Arabidopsis thaliana: one gene and its partners. The protein of the gene in region 1 interacts with the protein of each later gene in a biochemical or structural test. Each region holds a gene or a part of one and is shown in the gene's direction. Other genes may lie near its edges. The genes, in order: RHS16, AT5G51560, AT3G03770 and AT2G02780.

What was found.
Region 2: the proteins of RHS16 (region 1) and AT5G51560 form a complex in vitro, tested with the Arabidopsis thaliana proteins (one large-scale study listed by BioGRID).
Region 3: the proteins of RHS16 (region 1) and AT3G03770 form a complex in vitro, tested with the Arabidopsis thaliana proteins (one large-scale study listed by BioGRID).
Region 4: the proteins of RHS16 (region 1) and AT2G02780 form a complex in vitro, tested with the Arabidopsis thaliana proteins (one large-scale study listed by BioGRID).

The regions. Positions count from the first base shown.
Region 1 is NC_003075.7:14,383,778-14,390,260, forward strand, and holds RHS16 (root hair specific 16), read left to right. Parts: upstream 1-1,693; 5' UTR 1,694-1,853; coding exon 1,854-1,932; intron 1,933-2,212; coding exon 2,213-3,247; intron 3,248-3,347; coding exon 3,348-3,483; intron 3,484-3,544; coding exon of another isoform or gene 3,545-3,584; coding exon 3,585-3,656; intron 3,657-3,734; coding exon 3,735-3,806; intron 3,807-3,895; coding exon 3,896-3,976; intron 3,977-4,050; coding exon 4,051-4,193; intron 4,194-4,277; coding exon 4,278-4,531; intron 4,532-4,610; coding exon 4,611-4,737; intron 4,738-4,819; coding exon 4,820-4,882; intron 4,883-4,985; coding exon 4,986-5,175; intron 5,176-5,257; coding exon 5,258-5,747; 3' UTR 5,748-5,953; downstream 5,954-6,483. Other genes in the region: ATMND1 (Mnd1 family protein), read left to right, coding at 40-156, 266-304, 404-511, 593-655, 737-788, 930-974, 1,071-1,150, 1,247-1,351.
Region 2 is NC_003076.8:20,943,943-20,949,450, forward strand, and holds AT5G51560 (Leucine-rich repeat protein kinase family protein), read left to right. Parts: upstream 1-1,733; 5' UTR 1,734-1,864; coding exon 1,865-2,303; intron 2,304-2,878; coding exon 2,879-3,139; intron 3,140-3,246; coding exon 3,247-4,107; intron 4,108-4,189; coding exon 4,190-4,671; 3' UTR 4,672-4,997; downstream 4,998-5,508.
Region 3 is NC_003074.8:944,557-951,101, reverse strand, and holds AT3G03770 (Leucine-rich repeat protein kinase family protein), read left to right. Parts: upstream 1-1,863; 5' UTR 1,864-2,223; exon of another isoform or gene 2,224-2,306; 5' UTR 2,307-2,398; intron 2,399-2,599; 5' UTR 2,600-2,665; coding exon 2,666-4,001; intron 4,002-4,095; coding exon 4,096-4,229; intron 4,230-4,322; coding exon 4,323-4,563; intron 4,564-4,659; coding exon 4,660-4,865; intron 4,866-4,938; coding exon 4,939-4,982; intron 4,983-5,150; coding exon 5,151-5,262; intron 5,263-5,341; coding exon 5,342-5,654; intron 5,655-5,776; coding exon 5,777-5,799; 3' UTR 5,800-6,025; downstream 6,026-6,545. Other genes in the region: LBD20 (LOB domain-containing protein 20), read right to left, coding at 6,429-6,545.
Region 4 is NC_003071.7:781,167-786,633, reverse strand, and holds AT2G02780 (Leucine-rich repeat protein kinase family protein), read left to right. Parts: upstream 1-1,711; 5' UTR 1,712-1,987; coding exon 1,988-3,248; intron 3,249-3,338; coding exon 3,339-3,460; intron 3,461-3,535; coding exon 3,536-3,782; intron 3,783-3,869; coding exon 3,870-4,063; intron 4,064-4,129; coding exon 4,130-4,167; coding exon of another isoform or gene 4,168-4,192; exon of another isoform or gene 4,193-4,246; coding exon 4,247-4,361; coding exon of another isoform or gene 4,362-4,424; exon of another isoform or gene 4,425-4,450; coding exon 4,451-4,702; 3' UTR 4,703-4,960; downstream 4,961-5,467.

The DNA.
Region 1 (6,483 bases):
AAGCACTTATGGGTCTCTACTTTTGTAAAAAAATTTCAGCTAAAGGAACTTGAGAAGATGGGGCCGAAGAAGGGTGTAATTAGTCAGTCTGTGAAAGATGTTATCCAGAGTTTAGTCGATGATGATCTTGTTGCGAAAGACAAGATTGGAATTTCTGTGAGTAGCTTAGTGTTCCTATGTTGGATCTTTTTATTTCATTTGTTGCCATATAGTCCTTGTCTCTGTTATATGTTGTTTGACGGTGTTCATTATTTTGCAAATGAAGATCTACTTTTGGAGCCTTCCCAGCTGTGCTGGCAATCAAGTGAGTCACCGTTCTGTATCCTGAGATGACATCAAAAAGATTCATATTAATTTGAGCATAGCGAAATTCATTGTTTCTGATCTCATTTTGAATGAACAGCTTAGGAGTGTTCGCCAGAAACTTGAATCTGATCTTCAGGGTAGTAACAAAAGGTTAGCAGAACTTGTTGATCAGTGTGAGGCCCTAAAGAAGGGAAGGGAAGAATCGGTAAGTATTTTCAGTATTGTAGAATTAATGCTCGAATAAGCTTACGTGTGCTTTTCACCAGAATTGCTGTTCTTGCTGCAGGAGGAACGAACAGAGGCCTTGACGCAACTCAAAGATATTGAAAAGAAACACAAAGATCTGAAGGTCAGATTATACAGACTATCTGTTTGCATAGAGCTATTCACATGCTTAACAAGTTGCTAACAGTTTCTTCTTCTTAAACAGAACGAGATGGTACAATTTGCTGACAACGATCCAGCTACTTTGGAGGCAAAGAGTTAAGTTCTGCATAATACGTTACTTTTGTTTTGTGTTAGATCTCCTATATGGTTTTCCCGGTCTTCGTGGAGCAGAAATAAGAATCAATCTTGTGCTTTACTAGCTGTATCAATGTGTATATTCCTTCTAATTTTGACAGGGAATGCAATTGAAGTTGCTCACCAGTCGGCTAACAGATGGACAGGTATTTCATTTCTAAAACTTGGGAATGTGTTTTCAGTTTTAATACTTACGTAATTTTCACTGCAGCCTAGATTATAATTCTTTCAAACTTACTCAGATAACATCTTCACACTGCGACAATGGTGTTCAAACAACTTCCCCCAGGCCAAGGAACAGCTAGAACATCTATACACGGAGGTATCTTCCAGATCTTTTCACTTCAAAAGGCTATAAATTCCACATTTCACATTCTCATACATGAAGGAGAGACTAAATCAGCTGGGTAACTTTCAGGCGGGAATCACTGAGGACTTTGATTACATAGAGTTATCATCATTCCCTTTGAGCTCATCCCATGAAGCTGATACCGCAAAGCAGCTAGTACAAGATGAAGCTTAGTTCTAATACTCTCCAGCATAACAGTTAAAGAAACAATAGCTTAAGTAAAAAATCTTTTCACTATCCTTTTAAGTTTTCTGGTTTTAAAGGTTGCAACAGTCTGTAATTCTCTATGTGACCCAATCATCTAATGTCAAAACTCGGTTACAAATTCTGTGGTCAGAAAAGATTTTTATTTTCTTTGTATCTGTCGGCTATGTCCAAGCTTGGCTATGTTTTGTTATAATATTTTATTGGAGTTATATATATATCATGCGTTAGTTGTTGACCCACTGGTTACTTCTTGATAGCTGTATTACCATTTTATATTCTTTCTTGGCCGCTTTTTTCAGTCGTGAGCAGCACTTATGTTATACACCTCCAGGTCAATTTTGTTGCTACCAGAAGAGGAAATGGGCATAGACTTTGTACTTTCTAGTCTTTTGTGTTTTTGTGTTATCTTAAACGCAGGTTGTCTGTTTTTCTGACGATGATGAGCTGAGCTTTACAAAATAAGAAGAACATGGGAGCTCACTCTGTTTTTCTCATCCTTTTTTCCGTCATTGCCATTGCCATTGTAGTACATGGCCAAGGCCAAGCAGGTTCGTGAGTCTCATTCTCGCTTATTTTCCTCTGTTAGAGTCTGTTTTGATTTGAAAATGAGCAATCTTCAGACCAAAGATTTTTGAAGTTTTGATATATGTGGTTGCATTTTGGCCAAAACCGTGTTCTGATTATTGGTTTGACATGATAAGTGAGGTCCAAGTCTGTTTCTATGATTGAATGCTTTAGGTTCTAAAATTTAAACCTGCATTGGAATTTTGATGAAAATTTTCTCAACGTTGTAGAATTAATCAAAACCCTTACCTTCTTCTGGTCCAGGTTTCATCAGCATAGATTGTGGGTCACCCCCTAATATTAACTATGTAGACACTGATACTGGTATCAGTTACACCTGGGATGCACCTTTCATCAACGCTGGAGTAAATCTGAACGTCTCTGAAGAATACGGTTACCCGAAAAACCCGGTTTTGCCTTTCCCGCTTGCTGATGTAAGATCTTTTCCTCAAGGAAACAGGAACTGTTACACCTTAACCCCCTCCGATGGAAAAGGGAATCTTTATCTCATCAGAGCTTCGTTTATGTATGGAAACTACGATGGTAAAAATGCTTTACCTGAGTTTGATCTCTACGTAAACGTGAATTTCTGGACCTCGGTGAAACTCAGAAATGCTTCTGAGAACGTCATCAAGGAGATCCTCAGCTTTGCAGAGTCAGATACAATATATGTTTGCCTTGTGAACAAAGGTAAAGGAACTCCTTTTATTTCAGCGTTGGAGCTTCGACCAATGAACAGCTCCATCTATGGAACTGAGTTTGGAAGAAATGTCTCATTGGTACTCTATCAAAGATGGGATACAGGATATTTGAATGGAACAGGACGGTACCAAAAGGATACATATGATCGTATTTGGTCTCCGTACTCTCCAGTGTCTTGGAATACAACTATGACTACTGGGTATATCGATATTTTTCAGTCTGGTTATAGGCCACCAGATGAAGTTATTAAGACAGCTGCTTCGCCTAAAAGTGACGATGAACCATTGGAACTGTCTTGGACATCAAGCGATCCAGATACTCGGTTTTATGCGTACCTTTATTTTGCAGAACTTGAAAATCTCAAGAGGAATGAGAGCAGAGAAATCAAGATATTCTGGAATGGGTCGCCTGTTTCAGGAGCTTTTAACCCCTCTCCTGAGTATTCAATGACAGTGTCTAACTCACGAGCTTTCACTGGTAAAGATCACTGGATTTCTGTTCAGAAGACCGCAGAGTCAACGCGTCCACCAATACTCAATGCTATTGAGATTTTTTCAGCACAATCTCTGGATGAATTTTACACCAGAATTGACGATGGTGTGTTCATCTCTACTTTGTTAGTCGTCTACGTATATTTTGTTCTGGTCTTTAATTTTCACTGACACTCACAGTTTTCCATTTTCTATTGGTAATGCAGTTCAAGCCATAGAAAGCATAAAATCAACGTATAAAGTGAATAAGATTTGGACTGGTGATCCTTGCTCTCCCAGACTCTTCCCTTGGGAAGGTATTGGATGCAGCTACAACACTTCTAGTTATCAAATCAAGTCCCTGTAAGTCATTCATTCATTTCAACCTGAAAAAACTCATTGTGTAATTTCCCTCAAACTTAAGTTTTGCTGATGAGCTTGTTTCTGTATTTTGCTGCGAGAAGAAATCTTAGTTCAAGTGGATTACATGGACCAATAGCGTTCGCATTTAGAAATCTCTCCCTTCTTGAGTCATTGTAAGTATACAAACACATTGAAACTTGCCACCACTTTATTCACAGTAACTATAATAGTGGTGTGCATTGTTTTCCCAGGGATTTATCAAACAACAACCTCAAAGGAATTGTGCCGGAATTTTTGGCTGATCTAAAATATCTGAAGTCCCTGTGAGTTGAGCACATAGAGAACCTCGTTGAGTTTGTATTGATAGACAATCAAAATAGTATTTTGTCTCTGACATTAATTTGTGTCGCAGGAATTTGAAAGGAAATAACTTGACTGGGTTTATCCCAAGATCTCTTAGGAAAAGAGCAACGGCTAATGGACTTGCACTCAGGTACACGGAACCATAGTCATTTTGCCGCGTCTCTACCATTTTCAAAAGCTTATTGATTTCCTCTTTGTCTCCAGTGTCGATGAACAAAACATTTGTCACTCACGTTCATGTCGGGACGGGAACAGAATCATGGTGCCAATAGTTGTATCCACATTAGTGATTATTCTCATTGCCGCCTTGGCTATCATATGCATCATGCGAAGGGAAAGCAAAATAAGTAAGTACAGAGTGTCTTTTACTTAGATTTAAATTTAATAAGGTAGAATTAATGCTGAAAGAAAACGAGTGTTTAATTTCCTAGTGTATTCAGGAGCATATTCAGGACCACTTCTGCCTTCGGGAAAGAGAAGGTTCACATATAGTGAAGTCTCTAGTATTACAAACAACTTCAATAAAGTGATTGGTAAAGGAGGGTTTGGTATTGTGTACCTTGGTTCCCTTGAAGATGGAACTGAAATTGCTGTAAAGATGATCAACGATTCTTCTTTTGGAAAATCTAAAGGATCTTCATCATCATCATCATCATCCCAGGTCTCCAAAGAATTCCAAGTCGAGGTAACGTAACACTAGAATCATTAATCCGATAAATTAGACAATGTTGTTTTATGGTTGCTGAAGTGTAAAATGTATGCAGGCGGAGCTTCTTTTGACAGTCCATCACCGGAACTTAGCTTCGTTTGTTGGATACTGCGATGATGGTCGCAGTATGGCTCTCATCTACGAGTACATGGCCAATGGCAACTTGCAAGATTATCTTTCAAGTATTCTTCATCTCTCTCGATCTCTCTATTGCCAATTTTCGCTGCCTTTGCGCTCACGGATGTTTTGTTTACGGATATTCAGGTGAGAATGCAGAGGATCTTAGTTGGGAAAAGAGACTCCATATAGCCATAGACTCTGCACAAGGTTGGTCCCAGTTTTGACATCCTGAAATGTTCAAAAGCTAAGAGACATCAAACCCGGTTTAGTCTGGTTGTAAATCCCCTTATTGATTTGTTTTCCTTGGCAGGGTTGGAGTATCTTCATCATGGCTGCAGGCCACCAATAGTACACAGAGACGTTAAAACAGCAAACATTCTTTTAAACGATAACTTGGAAGCCAAGATCGCTGATTTCGGGCTTTCTAAGGTCTTCCCTGAGGATGATCTCAGCCACGTTGTGACTGCTGTCATGGGCACTCCTGGCTATGTCGATCCTGAGTAAGTTTCCTTAACACATCACCACTTTTAATCTTTACCATTTTGGTCATGTTGGTCTCATCATAAACTGGTTTCAAAATAGGTACTACAACACGTTTAAGCTAAACGAGAAGAGCGACGTGTACAGCTTTGGGATCGTCCTCCTTGAACTCATAACCGGCAAGAGATCCATAATGAAAACTGACGACGGAGAAAAAATGAACGTTGTTCACTACGTCGAGCCTTTCCTCAAAATGGGAGACATAGATGGTGTCGTGGATCCACGGCTTCACGGCGACTTCTCCTCAAACTCGGCTTGGAAATTTGTGGAAGTGGCAATGTCTTGCGTCAGAGACAGAGGAACCAACAGACCAAACACAAACCAGATCGTGTCTGACTTGAAACAGTGCTTAGCTGCCGAGCTAGCTCGTGAGCCAAAAAGCAATCATGAGAAGAAGGAAGTAGTGAAAGAGAAGTACACGAAGACCAAGTCGACGGTTCAGAATTATAGCAGCAATGAATATAATAGCTCATCTGGATCGGTTTCACTTTCTTTTGGAGATTACTCCACGTTTGGCCCAATGGCAAGGTAGTGTGAGAAATAAGTTATTTTAACTAACTCAAGGTTTGATTCATCATTTGTTTTTGTCACTGAAAGTTTATTTTGATTCATCATTTATGGGTTCTCATTTTATTTTATTTTGTTATTTTCAAAGATCATATATGATTTAAATTTGATTCTTTTGGTTTAAAGATTCATTCGTTTTTGTTTTCTTATAAGAAAATTTGTTACCACGAAAACATTAAATTGTAAGAACAAGCAAGTTGTCTATGTTTTTTTTTTTTTTTCAATAAACTAATCGAGCAGAAAAGTGGTTAAAGGACAAAGAAAACTAAAACAGAATTATACGGTATGATTATTTCTTGCTGTAGAAATTTTGTTGTAACTATGTTGGCTATAACTGTAATTTTTATTGCTGTAGAATTATTGCTGTAAGTTTTTTTATTTTAAATATTTATAAAAAATAGATTAACAAATATAATAATTATAATAAAATATTTTATTTATAGTAAATAAAATGCCTTGTATTACTATTTTAAATAAATATATTATGATAATAGAAAAAAAATCTATGAATTCTTGATAAAAGAAATTGTTTTTTTTTTTTAAGTTTGATAATTATCTGTTTTTTTATAACTTATCTTTGTTTTTTTGTTATATATTTATGTTGATAATTTCAATTTCTTGTATTTATTTAATGAATTAAAATTTGTACAGTCAAGAAAATAAAGCTTTGAGAATTTACTCTACTACAATCTTAAAAAGAA
Region 2 (5,508 bases), on another chromosome or scaffold:
GAGTCGTGACCCACATGAGTGTCGAGTGATTATTACAGCTTCGGTGAAAACGAGTGAAAAGTGAAAACGCAAACATTATTTTTAGGATCTTCTCTTTTGCTCACGAAGAATTGTAGTACTATTAGATAATCTCATAATCCTGAATGAGTGTTTTTAGTGGGATCACAATCCGAAATGACTATTTAAGCGTTAAGATTCAAAACAACTTCACATATATATAACCTTCAATGACTTCAATTTAATATATAGTTTGAAATTTAGTGTGAAAATCAAAATAATCGAACCTCGTTAATATTTTTAGTTTCATTCATGTTAAGTAATTCAAGCCAATTTTCCTTTTATAGTTTCTCTGCATGCAAATTTATATTTAAAGTGCGTGCATGTTGCATCACTTCAGTAATATGGTAGAATGCAAATTCGTTAACCGTCTCTATAGTTCATGACTTCATGATAGCATAAGAGATAAAATGAATTCAGGGATTTATGTGTAATCATTAAGGAATGAGAAAGTCACATAAAGCATGTAAAATAATTTTTGGGTCGTTATTTTTTTTTACTACGATGAATCTCTGCTCTCTTTTATATATTTTAGTCATGACTGAATAATGACAGGCAATTTTAATAATTTAAGATAAGTATGCGGTATGCCATGATCGGTAGACGGTAGCTCAATACAATTCCGACACAGAAACTAGTTTTTTTTTGGGTATTTGATAATGGGCCTTTTAGCAATTTTCTAAAGCCCAAATTTATTATTCTTGCTTCACGCAATATTGTTTAAAGCCCAATTTAGAGAACATGATTTCCATTCCGAATTCGTCGCCCAGTCACTTATTAGATTAATAGATTGCATTGCATTGCTTGTGCTTTCAATTTACAAATTGTCTCCCAACTCCATCGACACATCTCTTTTTGTGTATATAAGATTCAGACTTGTTATATTTTTTTTATAAATATGTTATTAGCATCTTAAGTTAAATTGATTTTTTATATCTGCATTAAGGATTACACGACTATATTTGCGATTGTGTGTTGGTTAAAATATAATTTAGGATTGTCTTTAACTACATTTAGGATTATATGACTATATTTGGTTAAATATAAAATCTAGCTGTGATTATTAGTATTCAAAAATAAGTAGCCTAACCAATTAAAACAACGGCTATTGGGGCAAATTAGAACATTTTAGTGTGTCCAAAATATAATGGTCATTAGGTCATATTCCTCCTAGCTTCATCGCAGCATAATTGAATGATTGCCTTATTTAGAAGAGCTTTTCCACTTTCCCAAAATCTATGTGGGATCTTTTTGTTTTGACCTTCATTTTTCTTGTTTACCATTTTTAGCTAAATTATTTACGATTACAAAAGATATCAAAAGTTGGATCATAATACAATTTATAGACTTACTGTAGAAAATTCGTATGTACAAGTACAACAAATTCTTCATAATAAATTTTGAAAATTCTATTACAAATGTTGTAAGAAATAGAATTTGAAATATATATAAACTAAGGAGAAAAAAAAAGAGAACATGCATTGCTCTAGTCAGAGTGGACCAACATCAACGAGATAAGATAACATAAAAACCAACTCACCATAACTAAAAACATCCCAAGAGATCCAACGATTCATATCAAACACAAAAACATCGAACGATCAGATTTAAACCATCTCTGGTATCTCCAAAACACAAACACTTTTTTTTTTCTTTTGTCTGAATGGAACAAAAGCATGCGACATCTCTGTGTCTTTATCTTCTCTCTCCTCTTCTTGAAAAACTGAACCTTTAATTCTTTCTTCACATCTCCTTTAGCTTTCTGAAGCTGCTATCTTCAAGCTCAAAACCAAACCCTAGAAATAAAATGACGGCGACACAAATGCTGCTTCATCTTCTTCTTCTTCCACTTCTCTTCCTTCACTTCAGCAACCAAGTCATGGCAGAAATCACCGACGAGTTAGCGACATTGATGGAGGTTAAAACAGAGCTTGACCCAGAAGACAAACACTTAGCTTCATGGAGTGTTAATGGAGATCTGTGTAAAGACTTTGAAGGTGTTGGTTGTGACTGGAAAGGACGAGTTTCTAACATATCTCTACAAGGGAAAGGCTTATCTGGTAAAATCTCTCCGAACATTGGAAAGCTTAAACATTTGACGGGTTTGTTCTTGCACTACAATGCTCTTGTTGGAGATATTCCTAGAGAACTTGGTAACTTGTCGGAACTTACGGATCTTTATCTCAATGTTAATAATCTCTCCGGTGAGATTCCTTCAAACATTGGGAAGATGCAAGGCTTGCAAGGTTAGTTCTTTTTTACTTTAATTTTAATCTTAATCATTGATTAAACTTAAAACCTAAATTTAGCATTGTTAGATCTTTGGTTTCTGCAAAATTCTTGTCCCAAGATTAATCAATGTTCTGTGGAGATTTGAAACCTAGAAATCTGAGCTCCTTGTCTTAGGGGTTTTAGTTACTTCATTACTATCTCTGGTAGTTGAAATTATTTGAATTAGATGATTTTGGAATTTAATGCTTTAATGATCTGTCTTTAAAACGTCCTTTTCATGTCTTTTTGTTAGGATTTTTCTTTTTGTAATTTTCCTGTAAGGAAGAATAGTCAAGAACTTTTTAAGATTCAAACTTTTAATTGGAACCATAAATGGCTTACTGGTCCCAAAATATGGACTTGAATTGAAGATAACTTGTACTTCTCTTGATTAATTTTGTTTATTTAGATAATTGATTCACTTACTTTCAAAAGGCTTTATATTTGAGCTTTAATTAGCAGGACCAGGTTTCTAAATCTAGAATTAGTTCTAAGTTAATGTAAGTCAAAGCTAAGCTTCATTCCTTTTTTGGTCTATGTTGTTGTGTAGTTTTGCAGCTCTGTTACAACAATTTGACTGGAAGCATTCCTAGGGAGCTTAGTTCACTGAGGAAGCTGAGTGTTCTTGCTCTTCAATCTAACAAACTCACTGGAGCTATACCTGCGAGTTTAGGAGATTTAAGTGCTCTAGAGCGGCTAGATTTGAGCTACAATCATTTGTTTGGTTCTGTACCAGGCAAGTTAGCTAGCCCTCCTCTGCTTCGAGTTCTCGACATCCGCAACAACTCCCTCACTGGCAATGTACCTCCTGGTTAGAAAACTGATTCACTATATGATCTTTGAAACTAACTTTGCGTATTTTGTGAAGTGTTTCTCATTTTGGTTTATATTTCTTTCTCTGTTGTACCGATTTGACAGTACTGAAGAGATTAAATGAAGGTTTTTCGTTTGAAAACAACTTGGGACTATGTGGAGCTGAGTTCTCGCCGTTGAAATCTTGCAATGGCACAGCTCCTGAGGAACCTAAGCCATACGGTGCAACCGTGTTTGGTTTTCCATCCCGGGATATACCAGAATCAGCTAATCTACGGTCACCTTGTAATGGAACAAACTGTAATACTCCTCCAAAATCTCACCAAGGTGCAATCCTTATTGGTTTGGTTGTCTCGACTATTGCATTGTCTGCTATTAGCATCCTCTTGTTCACGCATTATCGCAGACGCAAACAGAAGCTTTCAACCACTTATGAAATGTCGGACAACCGTCTCAACACCGTAGGAGGAGGTTTTAGGAAGAACAATGGTTCTCCATTGGCCAGTCTTGAATATACTAATGGTTGGGATCCACTTTCAGACAATAGGAATCTCAGTGTCTTTGCTCAAGAAGTTATCCAGAGCTTTCGATTCAATCTTGAAGAGGTTGAAACTGCTACACAGTATTTCTCAGAAGTGAATTTGCTTGGAAGAAGCAACTTCTCTGCGACTTACAAAGGAATCTTGAGAGATGGTTCTGCTGTAGCGATCAAACGGTTTAGTAAAACAAGTTGCAAATCTGAAGAACCTGAGTTCTTGAAAGGACTCAACATGTTGGCGTCTCTGAAACATGAAAACTTGTCAAAACTTAGAGGCTTCTGCTGTTCAAGAGGCCGTGGAGAATGTTTTCTCATCTATGATTTTGCTCCTAATGGAAATTTACTGAGCTATCTTGATCTCAAAGATGGTGATGCGCATGTTCTTGATTGGTCCACGAGAGTATCCATTGCTAAAGGCATCGCAAAAGGTATGAGTTTTATTTATGCCGAACCAATTTTGTTAGCGTTCTTGATTCATTTTTGTTTATGTGTTTGATGTTTTGTGTTTAGGGATTGCTTATCTACATTCATACAAAGGAAGCAAGCCAGCATTGGTTCACCAAAACATCTCAGCGGAGAAAGTTCTAATCGACCAGCGATACAGTCCTCTACTCTCAAACTCAGGCCTCCACACACTTCTCACAAACGACATTGTCTTCTCTGCACTCAAAGACAGTGCAGCAATGGGCTACCTCGCTCCAGAATACACCACAACCGGACGTTTCACCGAGAAAACCGATGTCTACGCTTTCGGGATTCTTGTGTTTCAGATAATCTCCGGGAAACAGAAGGTTAGGCATCTTGTTAAGCTTGGAACTGAAGCTTGTAGGTTCAATGATTACATAGATCCAAATCTTCAAGGAAGATTCTTTGAATATGAAGCCACAAAGCTAGCTAGAATCGCGTGGCTATGCACTCATGAATCTCCCATTGAAAGACCATCCGTGGAAGCTGTAGTTCATGAGCTAGGTAACTGTAGTAGCTGTCTCTGAGAACTCTCTCGAGGCAAATGTGTAATGTGTACCTTAGGAATCAATTAAGGAAGGGTTTGTTAGTCACCTTTTCCTGTGTTTAGGGTTAAGAAAAAGGTGCCTTTTCCCTTCCCATTAACGTTTAAAAACTGTTCAACGTGTTGTACTTTATTGGTTTGTATGATTTGTGTTTATGTTAAGCTCTTCAACCTTAGAAGAAGACAAGACAAGTACATTACTTTTAAAAAATTTCGGTAGATGGAAAATATTTATGGTACTTTGTCTTCTTTTTTTTTTATAACTTTCTGAACCAATTTATTGTCAATAATTCAATATAGAAAAAAAATAACGTATAACATTTTTTTTTCTGATATTGATCAAATCAATATCAAAAGAATTGATTTGTTAGATGGTTTTGATTTAGATTTGGATATGAGCTTTAACTTTTAAGTCTTTATTAGTCATCTAGATCTAGATACAAATTTATAAATATAAAGTCAAAGGTTAACTATTAGCATTGGCCACCAGATTCGAATAATTTACATGATTTTTCTAGACTTCAGGATTAGATTTTGGACCTAGTAAATTTTTAGAATTACTTGAGTTATTTGAAAGAAATAAATTAAATTATTAGTTGTCCACAAAAGACAGAAAAAAATATCAAATTATACTTTTCATTGGTCAAAAAAGGATTATACCAAATATCTAAGGAAGGAAGATATTGTTGATATAGCTAATTAATCAGTAACTAATCCTAACCGTCCATTTCTCCTCAAACCGCTTGATCTAACGGTAGCAAAAGGCTTCGATCACATAACACCATTTGTTTCCATAGAAACGAACGAGTCGTGGAGATTT
Region 3 (6,545 bases), on another chromosome or scaffold:
ACTCCTCTAGGCTCTAACGTACGTCTTAATTAAGTATTTGCTTTCGCTTTCTACAAATCACTTTAATGTAGTGTATATATATTTATGTGATAAAAACAGAATAATGTAACATATGAATGCATGATAGTAATCAAGAAAAAAACATAAAATAGTCGTATAAATGTATTTCTATGAAATAATCTCAAATTACTTCACTTAGCCAATAAATTTTCATAATATATTAATTTTATAGTTGCCAGTCGATCAATTTTCACTACCAGTTAAAATAGTCGTATAAATGTATTTCTAGCCGTTATTAATTTTCTTTTCGTCTACCAAATTAAAGATCAATCTTTTTTTGTTAAGGAAAAAGAAATCGAAATTGGAAATTACCACGTTCTATTTCGTATTGTTTAAAGTTGGCTAGTCGATTATAAGCTGCACCAACAATTTTTAGTTTTATTTAAACTATGATTGTATACGACGACATTGACTATTGAGACATGCAACCAACAGATACAAAACAAAACTAACCAAAAAATGAAACACGCAAAATGAAGGAAAAAAATAAGATAAATTAAAATTAAATATTTATTCCTAAACGATGCACAGAAAAATCTAACAGAAGAAGATGCTTATATAAAACCAGGTGGACTAAAATTTCACAGAATTTTGTTTTCTTATGTTTGTAAGCATTTACTTTACTTGTTTTCTTATACCTGCAACTATGAATCATATTAAAAAAAACTACAAGATTAATAAAAAGATGAATCACTCATGGCACGTGAGAGTAGTCAAGAGATTAAGACATCATGCCTTAGTTTCAATTTAATATGATTAAATACACGAGTTTAGTTTAAATTGTTTGTTAATTTGATTTCCAATTCCTTGCATGTTATTCTTTATTGATCATATTATATGTGAGCTAATTTGTTGTATTAAGATTGTTTTCTTGAACTTTGAAAAGGTCGGAGAAGATTGGGACCTACATGTGTCACTTTAAAAGTCTGGTGTGACCTTTCTGATGGAGATGCCTTCGTGCGAAAGCTTACATTACAGTATGTGTCACAACTTCGCTTTCTTTTTATTTTCACCTTAAATATATATATTACCTCTTTCAGATTTAAGTTTTTGGATGGATCTTTTTTTTTTCTTTCAGTTTGGTTTTAAGCCTAGTTTTTGATAAAATTCCGGTGTAGTTGTTGTGGTTTTTATGTTTAGTTTGTTTTCAGCTTTCTTACATGATCAAAATTCAAAACAAAATTAGAGTTACACTAATTTACTTGGTTTTGTTTACTCATTCTTGATTAATCTTGTTTAACTTAGCATACCCAATTAATTGATAGACAGACTTTTCTCAATCAAATTAATATTCATATAAGAAACTTTAAAAAAATATCAAAATTAAATCTATACTATATAAAGACTTGTTTGCCTCAGACTCGTATTTGTAGATCATCCCCCTAAAGGCCTAAACCCTAAAAGAATATTTCTCTTATCATTACCTTTTTATCTTTCTTTTTTTTTTTGTCTTTTTACTTTTTCTTGGCCACAGCTTTGGCTGGAGTGGATTTCTCTTTGGTCCCTATTTTTTTGAAAGTGATAATATAATATGAACATATTTAATGCTGATAAAATAATTTACTTTGTGTACTGTATAAATAGTGAGACAACCAAAAATAAAAAGATCAGAAAAAAACGTCGGCCAGACCCTGTTGGATTCGCTTTTTTTTTTTTCTTTTTTAATTTGTTAAAAATGCATGTGAACACTTACAAGATTATTTTTTGGACAAAAAAATTCTATTTCTATTTTGTTTGTTTGTTTTAAAATTATTTTTGTAAAAAGAATTTATCGTTGTCTTCATCTCGTGATGGAGACTTAGAGAGGAGGACCAAACTCTCTGTCGTTAGCCACTGACAATTTACTAAATCGTATGGTTGCTAAAATGTTTTTGCATTGATTTTACAGAATTTGTTTTTGTTTATTGTCTATTTAAAAAATAAAAAAAGTTTGTTGGGTTAATATTGTTCCCAGAGTATCCTCTGTTTTATTCTTATAAGATATAATAATCACTCGTGAAGGAATCTTGAATGTTTTTAAAGCTCCTTGAGGAACTTTCATCTCTTACAGAGGATTTTCTTGGGAACTTTTCTCACTTTCTTCTTTAAATCAAGTTGCTACTTTTTTTGTTTCTTTAGATAAAATCGATATTCCATTCACAGTTACTTCATAAGTTTGCAGAGGTATTTCTTCATCTCAAAGGAAACGATTTGTCTTTTCATTTTCTCATTCTTCTTACTCTGATGAAACCAAATTTTGTTTCCAGGAAAAATAAAATTTAATCTCTTGTGCTCAAAAGTTTCCTGCATCTTTTCTTCTTGCAAGGTGTCTTAAAGAGGAGATTCTGTAACACATGTGGTGAGTTCTTCCTGTTTTTCTGGAATTCACATGCAAAAATCATATTTTTTTAGTTTGAAGATTGATTTCTAAGATTCTCTTCTGTTTAATGCATTAACGAGAAAGTGGTTAAAATATCAAGATCTTGAGAGTGGACCCTGTTTTGTAAGTACATTATATATAAATGTGATTCTTGAATGAAATGTGTCTCTCTCTTTGCAGGTTTTGATGATGATGCTTATATGATTTTATTTAGTAGTTGTGTGTGTTTTATGGTCTTGTGTGGCTATGGAGAAACTCTATTGTGGCATGCCGTTACTGCTTCTGGTTCTGCTTTTAGCTTCCATTGATGGCTCTACACAGCTACAATCATCTCAATCTCAAACCCTCTTGAGGCTGCAACAGCTTCTCTACTATCCCAAAGTGTTAAACAGCTGGAACAACTATACAGATTTCTGCAATTCTGAGCCAAGCCCTTCGCTAACCGTTGTGTGTTATGAAGATAGTGTAACGCAGCTTCACATTATAGGAGACAATGGAACTCATATGTTACCAAAGAGTTTCTCAATAAACTCGTTTGTTACTACTCTTGTTAAGCTCCCTGATGTTAAAGTTCTCACGTTTGTGTCCCTTGGGTTATGGGGTTGGTTACCTCAGAAAATCAACCGTTTATCCTCTTTGGAGATTCTCAATGTGAGTTCCAATTTCCTCTTTGGACCAATCCCTCATGAACTCTCGTCGCTTGCTACTCTTCAGACGCTTATACTCGACGAGAATATGTTTTCTGGTGAGTTACCGGATTGGATTGATTCTTTGCCGAGTTTAGCTGTGTTGAGCTTGAGAAAGAACGTGCTTAATGGGTCATTGCCTTCTTCTTTGAGTAGCTTGTCAGGTCTTAGAGTTCTTGCTTTAGCTAATAACCGGTTTAATGGAGCTTTGCCTGATTTAAGCCATTTGACAAACCTTCAAGTGCTTGATCTTGAAGGAAACTCTTTTGGACCGTTGTTTCCTCGGTTAAGTAACAAGCTGGTTACTCTTATACTCAGCAAGAACAAGTTTAGATCTGCAGTTTCAGCTGAAGAAGTAAGTTCTCTGTATCAGCTTCAACATTTGGATCTTTCCTACAATACATTCGTTGGTCCATTTCCTACTTCCTTGATGTCTCTTCCCGCGATAACTTACTTGAACATTTCACACAACAAACTCACCGGGCGGCTTTCAGCAAATCTTTCTTGCAACTCACAGCTGATGTTTGTAGATATGTCATCAAATCTTCTTACCGGAAGTTTGCCTACTTGCCTTAAACCGAGTTCCGGCACTAGCAGAGATGTTGTCTATGCAAGCAACTGTTTGGCTACTACGAATGAAGATCAACGTCCAGTTTCTTTTTGTAGTAATGAAGCTCTTGCTGTTGGAATCCTACCACAGAGGAGGAACAAAGTTTCCAAAGTGGGTATTGCTTTAGGTGTAACCGCAAGCATTCTCGGGGTACTTCTCCTCGCCGGTGCCTTATTTGTGGTTCTTAGGAGATTAAATGCTAAGAAAACAGTGACGAAATCTTCCCCAAGATTGATTAGAGAGAATGCTTCAATGGGGTACACATCGAAACTACTATCAGATGCAAGTAAGAGGATAAAATATCTCTCACATATTGTCACATAGATTACATAGAACTTGTCTTCATTGATAACTTGTGCTGTAACTGCAATACTTTGAAGGGTATATCTCTCAAACAATGAAGCTAGGAGGGCTCGGTCTTCCAGCTTACAGGACATTCTCACTGGAGGAGCTCGAGTATGCAACAAATAACTTTGAATCCTCTGCTTTCATGGGTGAAGGTTCTCAAGGACAGGTACAGCAGTGAAGCTTCAATCTTTCTTTAGCTAGTTTCCATTTTTTGAACAGTTGAATCAAACAAGATTTTTGTTTTCATTGTTCTTTTCAGATTTATAGAGGGAGATTGAAAGATGGATCCTTTGTGGCAATTAGGTGTCTGAAAATGAAGAAAAGTTGCAGCACACAAAACTTGATGCATCACATTGAGCTCATCGCTAAACTGCGGCACCGTCACTTGGTTAGTGTGCTCGGGCACTGCTTCGAGTGCTACTTGGATGATTCAACAGTCAGCAGAATGTTCTTTGTCTTTGAGTATGTCCCAAATGGAGAACTCAGGACCTGGATTTCTGGTACCACACTGAAACATCATGTGTTTTAAGAATGAAGATGATCATTATATATTTTTTAATAACTAAATCGGATTGTTCTTGTCTCTGCTGTGCTAGATGGGCACATGGGAAGATTGCTTACTTGGGAACAACGCATAAGCGTAGCGATAGGTGTAGCAAAAGGGATCCAGTTCTTGCATACCGGTATTGTGCCTGGTGTTTATGATAACAACCTTAAAATGACAGACATTTTGCTTGACAATAACCTTGCGGCGAAACTCAGTAGCTATAATCTTCCATTGCTTGTGGAAGGTCTTGGAAAGGTAAATGACGATGTCAAAAGTTCGAATGTTTTTGTTTCTTGAATTTTGAATCTCTTTTGCTTTCCTTTCTAAGGTGGGGCAAGTAGGATCTCGGAGCGGACCTAAAGGCACTCCAAGGTGTGTAATAATCTTCTTTACTCTGTTTCTCATCAGCTTGTAAACCCGGTTATATGGTTTAATCCTCTGTTTCTCAAAAGAATCAAAAACGGTTTATATGGTTTAATCCTCTGTTTCTCATCAGCTTGTAAACCGGTTTATATGGTTTAATCCTCTGTTTCTTAACAGCATCAAAGACGAAGATAAAATCGATATCTATGATTTTGGAGTGATATTGCTTGAACTTATAGTGGGAAGACCATTGAGAGCAAAGAGTCAAGTCGATGTTCTAAAAGAGCAGGTAACACCATTCGATATATATGTAGCTTGATGTGGAATCGCTATCATCTACTTTAAAAACTCTTTTTTATTTGTTGTAGTTACAAGCAAGCATTTCAGCGGATGATGGAGCACGTAGGAGCATGGTGGATCCAACGGTCCATAGAGCTTGTTCAGACCAATCACTGAAGACAATGATGGAGATATGTGTAAGGTGTCTCCTTAAAGACCCTTTAGAACGTCCTTCCATTGAAGATGTCCTGTGGAATCTTCAGTTTGCTTCTCAAGTTCAAGAAGGTTGGCTACAAAACAGCAATCCCTCGAGCAATCTCGGCTCGCCTTCTCCTGCTGCTTCCTCTCTTCCTCCTCCCTCTCGTTTACACGTAACAACACTCGAATCTCCCCGAGATTCAGGTATTTTTGAACTCGATCTTTTATGATCAATTGATTCAGTTCAGAATAGAATTTGATTGTTAAAGATTTGAGATTGAATAAGTTTATTGATCTGAGACTTATTTGTGTGGTTGTAATTGCAGGATGTGAAGAACATGAGAGGTAGAGAGACGAGGGTTTTTGTTTGGTCTTGTTCACTGATCACTACTCTTTGGAAAGAACATAACCTTTTTGTTTGTAATTTGATGTTTGTTTTTGTTTTTTTGTCTTTAGTTGTGTTGAGCTTAAACGATCATAACAGTTAATAATATAGTTAATTTTTCTTATAAACTTTACTTAAAAGAACAGTGTCGGTTAATTTTTATTCTTCAAAAGGAATACAAGTCCAACAATGGTGAGATAATTTTGGAAAATTCAATCGTTTTTTCTTCCTGTTTTGTTCAGCGAAAATAAATTAAAATTGTATATAGAAATTGAGATGGAACCGATTTCTAGGGTTTAGAAAAGATTTGCTTGATTGATTCTTCTTGTCCAAGAAATCAAAATAGAGGATAATGGCTGGTGTTGGATCATCAAATCCTTTACTTATTTATTAATTTGGATTCGTATGTAAATTCAGTTAATTCCAACTAGTATGATAATTAACCAATAACTACATGCATATATCTCATTCAAATATTTCACGACAACTCTACATGTATAGTATACGTCTGCTGGATATACTTATTCTCTTTCTCAACATTATTATAAAAACGGAGATATATTTAAATTAAAGACAAACCCTAGGTAATACATTCATCTCCGGTGAAAATCCTCCGCCGGAAATATAACCTTCGAAGCCACCGCCGTCGATCCAACAGCCACCGAAAAATCAGCACCGCTCTCTTCCTCATCCTCATGCTGATAATCTCC
Region 4 (5,467 bases), on another chromosome or scaffold:
ATGTAATACTTTATAATCATTTTAAGTTATTTCTTATTACCATCATTCACTGGAATTTGTTTTACAACTTTTGTACAGTTGATCTTTAATAAATGAGCTAAAACTAAATAGAAGATTTTAAATTTTGATGATTGTCTATATATTTAGTGTAAAACAGTAAATGAAAGGCAAAAAAGCTGCAAATCAGATTCTGAATAAAAAACATGTTATGACGTCTAATCAAAGTTTTAGGATCCGAGAAGTTTACTTTTCTTGAAACACAATAATCGAAAGTTTTGTTTAATCAAAAGAAGCTCATAAATAAATTCTAGGATCCTAAATAGCTAAGTAAAAAACAAACTGAAATAGATTACAATGAATTCATACATTACATTTTTGTAGTTTGAGACCCTAGAAATACGATCTTGTTCCTCCTCTTTTGTTTATAGGCTCAGTTTTAAACCTTAATAAATTAATAATCTCGGAACCGATAAATTCTAATTAATTTATAAAGGTATTAATTTATTAATAAATCTTATAGAGAGATTTTATTAATTTTGTAATTTTTTAAAATTTCTATGTGAGAAGTAGTTTTTGTCTTTATAATCAATGTCTTTCAAAAATAAATTACAAATAAAAAACCAATTGTTAAGTTAGTAAACAAAAAACACTTTGTTCAATATAGTAAAAATATTAGAAATGAACTCTACTAAAAATTTTATACAAATTTAAGAAAAATGAACAATACTAGAGTTAAATCCCACTAATTTAATTAAATATATATATATATATATTAATAAGTGTAAAATTATTAATTTATGATATTGATGAGATCATATGTTTACGTAAGAGTTTTTAAAAACTTATTATTTTATAATTTCATTGATTTGTGTTATTTATTACATTGAAAACGTCAAGAATTTATTAATTTGTAAAAATAGTAATTTATCGAGGATTAGTTTATAAATAATTTACTGTATTAGCATTCACAAGGAATAAGCATAGTACATATATGTCCCAATGTTAAGTAAATCATTTTTTGTATAATTACTTGTCAAAAAAAAAAAAAAAAAAAAAATCATATAGAAACTAAAATATTTGGAAATATATATGGACTCAAAGGTTGTACAATTTTGGGCCTAACCGTATTATATATAATATACGGGCTAAATGTTACACGTATGAAGCCCAAAATAACCTCTCTTTTTTTTTGTCAAACTTGATTTGTAATTGAATTTTAATAAAATTAAATAATTGAATTTTAATAAAAATTAAATAATTGAATTTTAAATGCATATTTTTCGATAAAAAAAAAATGTCTGTTGCAGAAAATATTAAATGATACTTTCGCAGTGACGATTATTCCAAGGCCGTTTGCATGTGCAGATGTGCTTGATCATATAAAATCCATTCAAATTTTCTAACATTAGTAAATGAACAGTTCATCAGAATAAAAGAAACAGCTCGACATTTGGTAGAATCTCTAACCACACTTTTAAAGAAAAGACACAAACCTAATGGCTTCTCTCTCTCTCTCGAAGACAAAACACGACATAAATTTCTTAATCCTCATTACCTATCACCGACAAGTAATGAAACATCTCTATAATCTTATCTGATCAATCATATATAACCAAAAGCACTTGTTTTACTAATAAAACAAAGCAAAAATCATGTGAAATACAAGTTCTTATTGTTAATTTGTTATAGTAGTAATCAAATCAAATAAATAAACATTTCATCTTCTTGGATTCATTGCAAAACAGTCTGTCAAGTTGAGGTTGTGCAATGTGCAGTAATGAACAAACAACCAAACCAAGTTTAAGAACTTAAAGATTGCATTTATTGCCTCCACCTTAATTGGCTTTTCTACTTTCATTTACTTCTTCTTCTTCTTCTCTTGATCCAAAGTTTTCCTCTACACTACCTATAGATCTGTCTTTGTTCCTAGAAAAATGATAACTTTCAGTGAGTTTCTGTTTCTCTAAAGGCAAAACACATCTTCACTATGCAGATTTCTCTTCAAATCCATTTATCTTCCTTCACTTTTCTTCTTCTTATTTTCCTTCTTCCAGTACTCTCTGAGTCTCAGGTAGCTTCAAGTGAATCACAAACTCTTCTTGAAATCCAGAAGCAACTACAATATCCACAGGTTCTTCAATCATGGACTGATACAACCAACTTCTGTCACATTCGTCCGTCTCCTTCCTTGAGAATCATCTGCCTCCATGGTCACGTAACAGAGTTAACCGTCACCGGGAACAGAACTAGTAAGCTCTCTGGAAGTTTTCATAAACTCTTCACTCTTCTTACACAACTATCGAGCTTAAAGACTTTGTCTCTTACTTCTCTCGGAATTTCTGGTTCTCTTTCTCCTAAGATCATCACTAAGCTATCACCGTCTCTTGAGTCTCTCAATCTTAGCTCTAATTTCATCTCTGGGAAGATTCCAGAAGAGATTGTGTCTTTGAAGAATCTGAAAAGCCTTGTTTTAAGAGACAATATGTTCTGGGGTTTTGTCTCTGATGATCTCAGAGGATTATCAAATCTTCAAGAGCTGGATTTGGGAGGTAATAAACTCGGTCCTGAAGTTCCTTCACTCCCAAGTAAGCTCACCACTGTTTCATTGAAGAACAACTCCTTTAGATCCAAGATTCCAGAACAGATCAAGAAGCTGAATAACCTTCAAAGTTTAGACCTTTCTTCCAACGAATTCACCGGGTCGATTCCAGAGTTTCTGTTTTCGATTCCTTCTCTTCAAATTCTCAGTTTGGATCAGAATCTGTTAAGCGGGTCACTTCCAAATTCTTCTTGCACCTCCTCAAAGATTATAACTTTAGACGTGTCTCACAATCTTTTAACTGGAAAGCTTCCTTCTTGCTACTCTTCAAAGAGTTTCAGTAATCAGACAGTGCTTTTCTCATTCAACTGCTTGTCTTTGATTGGCACTCCTAACGCGAAGTATCAGCGTCCGCTTTCTTTCTGTCAAAACCAAGCAAGCAAGGCAATAGCTGTGGAACCTATCCCCAAGGCTAAAGATAAAGATTCTGCAAGAATCAAACTCGGGTTAGTGATTTTGATAATCATCGGTGTGATCATCCTTGCAGCAATTTTGGTTCTGTTGGTTTTGATTGCCCTCAAAAGAAGAAGATCAAGATCAGAAGATGATCCTTTTGAAGTGAACAACAGCAACAATGAGAGACATGCCTCTGATAAAGTCTCTGTTTGCAGCACCACAACTGCCAGCTCTAAGTCATTACCAGATTCAAGTAAACAATGACTTATCTTATTAATACTTGGACACTTGAAACTGAGTCTTTCTCTAGCAAAAACCATTAACAGGATCTTTCTGAGTGTAGGACGTGTACCACAGACAATGAGATCTGCAGTGATTGGTTTGCCACCGTACCGCGTTTTCTCCTTGGAGGAACTGGAAGAAGCGACTAACGACTTTGATGCAGCTAGCCTGTTCTGCGAACAGGTAAAAACAAAAACTTGACTTGAGACTCTGGCGACGAACCTAATAGATTACTTAATATATTTGGTATTCGAACAGCTGTATAGAGGTTGTCTAAGAGAAGGCATACCAGTGACAGTGCGAGTTATCAAGCTGAAGCAGAAGAGCTTGCCACAAAGCTTAGCTCAACAGATGGAAGTTTTATCAAAGCTAAGGCATATGCATTTGGTTAGCGTTCTTGGACACTCCATTGCCAGTAACCAAGACCACAATCAACACGCTGGACACACCATCTTCATTGTTCAAGAATACATCTCTAGTGGATCATTGCGGGACTTTCTCACAAGTAATAATAACCTGAAAAAGATTAGAATATATATTCAGGTTTCCATAGACTCAAATGGTTATTCATTATGGGAATTTTTGTGATCAGACTGTAGGAAGAAAGAGGTACTGAAATGGCCTCAGAGAATGGCGATAGCAATAGGAGTCGCTCGAGGGATACAGTTCTTGCATATGGGAGTAGCACCAGGAATCTTTGGGAACAATTTGAAGATAGAGAACATCATGCTTGATGAAACACTCACAGTAAAAATCAGTGGCTATACTATTCCTTTACCATCCAAGGTATAAAACTTTGTTTTATTTCTTCTTCTATTAATTGAATCTAAGAAAATTTAATGGCATTTCTAGGTTGGAGAAGAGAGGCCTCAAGCCAAAAAACCTCGGAGGTTGTTGTTGTTTCTTAAGATATGATCAAATGTGTTCTCTTCTATCAAATTTTGAAACTTGTTAATGAATAATGTGCAGTAATGAAGATAGAGAGAAAGAAGATGTGTACCAGTTTGGAGTGATACTACTACAAATCATCACAGGGAAAGTAGTTGCTGCAGGATCTTCAGAGATGGGAAGTTTGAAGCTTCAGGTCTGTTCTGTTTCAGTCAGAACCTTTTCATCTTTAAGAATCCGACACGGCTTACAAATTTAGAACCTCAATGTTATTATTTCCTGCAGCTGGAGAACGGTTTGAGAGATGAACCATCAGTATTGAGCAGCTTAGCAGATCCATCTGTTAAAGGATCATATGCTTATGAGTCGTTGAGGACGACAGTAGAGTTTGCTATCAACTGTCTTTGCGAAGATCAGAGCAAGCGTCCTTCCATAGAAGACGTTGTGTGGAATCTACAGTATACAATTCAAGTGCAGCAAGGATGGAGACCAAGCAGTGGGAATCATGAATCATCCATGAAAGCAATATATGAATGAAATGATCATAAAGAGAGGCAAAAACTGTAGAAACAATAATAAGTTTCAAACAAGTCAAGATGTAGTTTCATGGACTACCTGAAATATCTTTTATTAGCTAACTTAGTAATCTGTGAATAAAAAGCAAAAGGAGTTGAAAAACACACAAAGACATGTAAGAGAGTGTGTCCAGCTTTGCTCGACAACATTGCAGACTCTTCTGTTGTATTCGCGCTTGCTTTCGCTGAACATTCGTGCATCTCTTAAAACAAATCAGCAGTCTACAATCTTGCTAACCTGCTTGATGAAGACATCAAAATCTTCAAAAACCTTCACAGGTTCTTTATAACAAGAATCTCTGTGCCTGGAATACTATAGAAAATCCCAAAAGTTACTGCAAACCTCTCACTATGCTCACGTCTAACCTCTCCATCTCAACCACACTCCGTGTTTCGGGCAATCTCCAATACAGAAGTCTCTACCTCATCCAGCATTCTATAAACTTCCTTTGTTATGACTTGTATCGCTAGCTAAAAACAAGTGCTTGTGTTCCACATAACTATAATAACCATAGCTATACCCAGGTTAGGTAAGATGTCGAAAACAGCAAGTGGCTTTGCCAAGTTACCTCACCTAGCATACATACTACTGATCAATGCATTTTCGCTCACAAAACAAATTTTGTTACAATACCATTGGCTTTTACTAGCTTCTTACTTCTTGACCAATCTCTTGAGCCTCCAAGATAGATAGGCACAAGAAGACAGGATCATGACAAACGCTCGA